2 linked regions of the Kluyveromyces lactis genome follow. The protein of the gene in region 1 interacts with the protein of each later gene in a biochemical or structural test. Links are inferred from orthologs where the notes say so. Each region holds a gene or a part of one and is shown in the gene's direction. Other genes may lie near its edges.

Region 1 (3,554 bases):
GTGCTGGATAGCACTGTAAAGGCGAGATTAAGTGATCAGCGAAACACAGCTGCAAAGGACACTACAGGCGCACAGGCTACATATCTATTGAGTGTGAATAAAAGGTTAGCGGGAAAAACAAGAAACATCAGCTTCAACAAAATTCCAGAAACAAGCCTTTTCGGATTTCCATCGCCTCAGCCATTTGAAGGACCAGATCCAGATAAATTAAAAGTTGATCTCGACTTCTTGGAAGGCGATTCTCTGCCCGAACGTGACGATTCTCCAACTAGAAGAAGATCCAGACCGATTCAATGAGTCTAGTCTGATCCACACTTGCGTCCCATCGTAAGGTTCTACTTGCATCAAAGCCGGTTATGTAGCTAAGTACATTCTCAGTTTGTATTTGTATTATTATCATTATTCTGTTACCCGGCTATGTTGATAATGCCAAAATATTAAGGAATAACTGAATCTTTTGGCGGGTGGCAAACCTTTGACAGAAAGATACAACATTGAAGGAATGCAACCGCCTAAAAGACGATATTCACAGGATTGAGTATCATCAGTGAGCAACTGTATCAAATCATTCCCAAATATAATCGAAAATGGATGGAATTCAAGTTGATATGAACCGCTTGAAAAAGGGCGAAGTGAGTCTAGGTACTTCAATGTATGTATCAATAAGGGAACGTTAAGATTCCTCTTTCCCACAATCGAATCAATCGGTTTTAATGATATCAGTGAATACTAACTAAACTTAATTAATGTTAACAGTATGGCCGTGACTTTCAAAGATGGTGTGATCTTAGGGGCAGATTCCAGAACAACTACTGGTGCGTATATTGCCAACCGTGTCACAGATAAACTAACAAAGGTTCATGATAAAATCTGGTGTTGTAGGTCAGGTTCAGCAGCAGACACTCAGGCTGTTGCCGATATTGTACAGTACCATCTAGAATTGTACACCTCACAATATGGAGAACCTACAACCAAGGTTGCTGCATCGATCTTCAAGACATTATGTTACGAGAACAAGGATCATCTCACAGCAGGTATTATAGTGGCGGGCTACGATGAAAAAAACAAAGGAGAGGTGTATAGTATACCTCTTGGTGGTTCTGTGCACAAGCAGTCGTACTCAATTGCTGGTTCTGGTTCTGCTTTCATATATGGTTACTGTGACAAGAACTATAAGGAAGATATGACTAAAGAAGAAACAATCGAATTTGTAAAACATTCTCTATCACAAGCCATCAAATGGGATGGTTCATCTGGTGGTGTCATTAGAATGGTTGTCCTTACTGCTGAAGGTGTGGAACGTTTAATTGTGTATCCCGATGAGTATGAAAACCTGTAGATTAGACGATAAAGCGGTCTTAACCCGTCTTCTGTAAGCAAAAGTATATTAGTTTAAAGAATAAAATTGGTATATAAGAAGAATAAATCTGAGAAACCTCGGTTTCCTTATCATCAAGACCAATCTTAAGGGGCGTTCGGTCCTGAGAGGTATTCTGCCTTCGGCTTTCCATTATTGGTAAACTTTCTCAGTAGTTAAGATTATCAGAAAGGCATTATAAAAAAGTACAACGGATCATTAATACACTCTTAGCTATGCAAAAATATAGAAATGAACTTGAATTGTTAATTGATAGAAAAGCCCAGCAGATATTATGATATAGTAGTATGTCCTTAGAATGTTACATTAAAGATGCACTTCCGTTCGGTCATGAGTTCGAAATCATTAATCTCCAGTCAATTCCACGAGAAACCTCGCCAATAACTTTTCCAAAACGCGAAGCTGAAGACGTTAATGGAAAAACGGTGAAGACCATCAAGACACAACATTTCGTCGCATTATGCTTTGAAGAGAAGGTTGTTTTTGCTCTTGAAATTGTTGTTTATTTCAGTTTGAATTCTGCCAATAATGGTCCCGTAGAAAGGCTCTTGTTCGTCTCCAAAGCAGATACAAACGGATATTGCGATCTAAGACTTGACATTGGTCAGATAACTAAGTCAATAATTGCATATATTCTGGCAATTAGTCCAGGACATTATTTGCGGGCGGTAAAACCGCTGATAAGGAAAGCACTGAGCGGTGCAAAGATTATAAAGAGAAGTACATCAGTACAGAGAGCGTTAGAAATATTATCCAACAGACCGTTGGATTCGAAGGGGATAACTTCAAGGGTTAAAATCCCAGACCAAGATTTATACGTTTCATTCCCGGTTCCGACGGAAATTGTCACAAAGGTAAGTCTTTTTACCAGGGCAGAGCCGCAGTATTTGTTTTCAAACTCATCTAAAAACCCAAGGAAACACGTCCTAAGTGGTGACAAATTGCTCAAATGGTGGTTAAAGATTGTAGACCAAATAGTTGTCGAAGATTTCGATAATAAAACAAAGGCAACCTTACAAATACCGGGAGAAGAGAAAAGAGTAATTTCCAACTATTTGAGAAACACAGCATATCAAAATTGGACCGTAGGAGACATTTTCTCTGAAAGTCCGCAAGACATTGCATTATACAGGATACCATTATTCCCTGATGACCCCAAGGGCAGATTCCTTGACCATCTGATCAGTGATGGACGAATTTCTAAAGTCAATGTGTTAACATTCTGGACAGAATTGCAAGCAAGGCAAGAGTTCAGACTGGGATCAACTGTGTCTGTCATTGGAGTGTCAGGAAAATACATCGGCCGTTGCAATGAACCAGAACGGACTGATATAATTATACCAACCTCGAAGAAGAACTTTAAAAATCTGAAGAACTACATAACTGGAGAAGAATATGACACTGAAGAAGGTGCTGAAGAAGCATACATGAACATTCGAGATATTTTTGACATGCATTACTCCACGAAGATGATAAAAGTTATTGGAAACCACCACAAGATCGCTACTACAAAACGGCCTGAAATAAACACTATTAACGTAATAAACACTCTAAGTGTCCATAGGAAACCTAAATCGTAGTGTGACGGTGCTGATATATATATACTACATAATGGATTCAGGACAATTTGCGCGTACATCACAGCGGATCTCTATATTGGAAGTCAATTTTCAGCAGAAATCAAACAGAGAATAAAAATGTAACAAATTAAATCAAATAAAAATAAAAATAAAAATAAAAATAAAAATAAAAATAAATAAATAAATAATAAAAAATACCTATTGCATTGAGAATAATTATTTGAAATTTGATCCAATGAAATGGTTAAATATTGCGTTTGAGTGTATCTTTGATTGGTTAGATATTAGATGCGATCCTGTTAACCTTAAACTAGTCTATTAGAACGGTTAATTAGGTCGGAGTATAGTACACAAGTAACTCTGAAGATGTCAAGTCTAGAAGATTTGATTCCTACGGTGAATAAGCTACAGGATGTTATGTACGATGCAGGCATTGACAGTTTGGATCTACCGGTTTTAGCTGTTATTGGATCGCAATCTTCTGGTAAGTCTTCGATCTTGGAAACGTTGGTCGGGAGAGATTTCTTACCTCGTGGTACTGGTATTGTTACCAGACGTCCTCTAGTTCTTCAGTTGAATAATATTGATCCGAATTC
Region 2 (2,900 bases), on another chromosome or scaffold:
AGGTTACAAGATGCCCCCCGTGGTTCTGCTAGGAGTCGTGGCTGCTATCGTGGCTAATGCCTTACAGGCATTAGGACTCGTTTTCCAACGGAAAGCTGAATGTATTGAAATGTTCCACTACAATAATTCGGAACTTCTTTCCCTTCATTCTGAACTGAAGGTACCACCTAGATCAATCGTTTATAGGAATAAGAGATGGCAATTGGGGTTTTCGCTTTTCCTTTTGGCTAATTTATTCGGTTGTGTCATTCAAATAGCTACTTTGCCCTTGATCGTATTGGCTCCCTTACAGGCATCTGGCCTGGTTTTCAACTCTTTATTTTCCCATATGCTTCTACGAGAACCGTTCCCCCTGATTCCCACTGGTTTTGTTTGTGCTGGTGGTACCATCATGGCTTCAATGTCATGTATGTTCATAAACACTCCTTTGACGCATACGTTTGAAGAGTTGTGCGAATTGGCTCAAAGTGAAAAATTTATTCGTTATTTTGTCGGTACCAACGCTTTAGCTATCATGTCTATTGTGGTGGGTGTTTTCGGTGTCGGGAAACGTGTCAAAGGGTTTTCGCTTGTATTTGCTAGTGGTATATGGTCAGCTCATGCTTTACTCATTGCCAAATGCGTGTCGAACGTTATCGTTACTGAATGGTCCATCTCTTTACATATGGTCTTGCTCGTTTTGGTATTGGTAACTTTCTCGTTGACTCAGTTGTATTTGTTGAACGCAGGGCTTTCTCATCTTTCTACATCGATCCTTTATCCGTTTGTGTTCTCCATCTATAATTTGACTACAATCTTGAACAGTACAATGTTCTATCACGATTCATTGGTACCGCATACAGCCGAGATTTTATACACAGGGCTTGTGTTCGGTTTCATAGTGCTAACCATCGGAGTGGTACGCATTTCTGCATCCATCTACTACTTTGAAGAATCTTTGGTTCACGATTCGAAGTTTCTCTCTGAATTGGATGGCTCTCATTCACCATCATCGTCTACTTCCTCTGCGGCCGTGCTATCGTATGGCTCGCTCAATAATGGAAGACCTTTGTCGCAAGAATTCGTACAAGAATCTAATACTTATACATCGTTGACGGTGTAACAAAAAAAAAAGAAGGGGAAATGGCCGTGCTGCGGCTTCCCCTCTACATTGCATCTTCCTTCACCTTGAACTTCAATTTTACATAAGGTATGTATATTCACTTCTATATCTCTTTTTTTTTTTTTGTTTCATTCAATAAAACTTTTGATCGTATTATTATCGAGCTACTGTTGTTAGAGTGTTATCAACCTACAGCAGCCCTTGTTGATTCAACGTTCTCTCCTACCGGTCTTTTTCTTTGTCTGATTGAAAACTTCACGCGACGCGCTTTCTTTTAAACTTTTCAACTATTCAATATAAAGATAGAAAAAAAGATTATACATCACATCACATAACCTTAACAAAAGCATTGCTCTAAGAACAAGCTTTGTTAATCCAGTGACTACGTATCAAGGCATCGGGAGAGTTACTGTAGGGATCATTATATTAGTTACAGCGGTTTTTCGGTCATGTCTATTGTATCACTTTTAGGAATCAAGGTATTGAACAATCCAGCCAAGTTCACAGACCCTTATGAATTTGAAATCACTTTTGAATGTCTTGAGCCATTAAAACACGATTTGGAATGGAAATTGACGTATGTTGGTTCTTCTAGATCACTTGACCATGATCAAGAATTGGATTCTATCCTGGTGGGTCCTATACCCGTTGGTATCAACAAGTTCAAATTCGTGGCAGATGCACCTTCACCAGATCTGATTCCTGCTAGTGAATTGGTCAGTGTTACTGTGATTTTACTATCGTGCTCTTATAATGGTAAAGAGTTTGTAAGGGTTGGGTACTACGTAAACAACGAATACGATTTGGAAGAATTGAGAGAGAACCCACCTCAGAAAGTGCCTATTGATCATGTGGTGAGAAATATCCTTGCTGAGAAACCAAGAGTTACTAGGTTTAATATCGTTTGGGATAATGAGGGTGAAGAAGAGTTCTATCCTCCGGAACAAGAAGAGCCTGAGGAAGAGGAAGAAGAGGAGGAGGATGAGGATGAGGATGAAGAGGCAGATGAGGACGCTGAAGAAGATCTTGCAGAAGAAGACGATGTAGATGATGGTGAAGGTGAGGAAACTGCTCCTGAAAAGAAGAAACTGAAAAGGGATCCAAAGAAATCTACTGCTTCTGACGTTAAGAACGACGAGGGTGAATCGCAAGCGGAATCTTTGGGACCTGAAGAAGACGAGGAAGACGAGGAAGAAGCGGAAGAGATAGACTTAGAAAAAGAAAGTGATAGTGAGAATGATGCAGATTTGCCTACGCCGCAGGATACTACCCAACACAAATAATAGTAACGGTTTCCACGTCCTGGCCTCCCGCGGCGGCCTCCCAAATTAACGCACTTTTATATACCTTTCATAAGTATCGTTTCAATCCCGTTTGTAACATTGCTGACCAACACAAACCGGTACTCTTCCTCACGTCGATGAAGCGTCCAAAAAATCAAGACTGCATCAACTACTAGCTTGGAGGGAAGGTCTTTATACGCTTCGAATGCAATGTTGTCGTTCAAGACAAAAAAGAAAATGGACGAGTCCGGAGTCGAACCGAAGACCTCTCCCATGCTAAGGGAGCGCGCTACCAACTACGCCACACGCCCGTAATTTCTGAAAAAGTACATTTTTCGTTCCCCATACCGAAAAGAGAAAATCCTACCGTTTTTATCGTCAATCCGGCTGGGAAAACAGTAAACCCTCCAAAAGTAGCAGTTGATAAGGTGGTATCTCTCTAAAATAGCAGTTTCACAGCAGTTCAATCCCTGTATATTTGGACTATGGATGGGTCCTTTAGCCAGCATTGTAGT

What was found.
Region 2: the proteins of RTT109 (region 1) and ASF1 are reported together in a solved structure, tested with the Saccharomyces cerevisiae proteins (3 studies listed by BioGRID, with this or other methods). The link is inferred for Kluyveromyces lactis from reciprocal best matches to the Saccharomyces cerevisiae genes RTT109 and ASF1.

What each region holds. Positions count from the first base shown.
Region 1 is NC_006042.1:1,189,624-1,193,177, reverse strand, and holds RTT109 (H3 histone acetyltransferase RTT109), read left to right. Parts: upstream 1-1,665; coding exon 1,666-2,958; downstream 2,959-3,554. Other genes in the region: SFI1 (Sfi1p), read left to right, coding at 1-297; PRE3 (proteasome core particle subunit beta 1), read left to right, coding at 588-652, 757-1,339; dynamin-related GTPase DNM1, read left to right, coding at 3,325-3,554. UniProt on the Saccharomyces cerevisiae protein: Histone chaperone-dependent acetylase that modifies 'Lys-9', 'Lys-14', 'Lys-23', 'Lys-27', and 'Lys-56' on histone H3 (H3K9Ac, H3K14Ac and H3K23Ac, H3K27Ac, and H3K56Ac) to promote nucleosome assembly, genomic stability, DNA repair and transcriptional regulation during mitotic S-phase.
Region 2 is NC_006041.1:1,330,580-1,333,479, reverse strand, and holds ASF1 (nucleosome assembly factor ASF1), read left to right. Parts: upstream 1-1,551; coding exon 1,552-2,385; downstream 2,386-2,900. Other genes in the region: KLLA0_E14917g (uncharacterized protein), read left to right, coding at 11-1,102. UniProt on the Saccharomyces cerevisiae protein: Histone chaperone that facilitates histone deposition and histone exchange and removal during nucleosome assembly and disassembly. Facilitates histone deposition through both replication-dependent and replication-independent chromatin assembly pathways.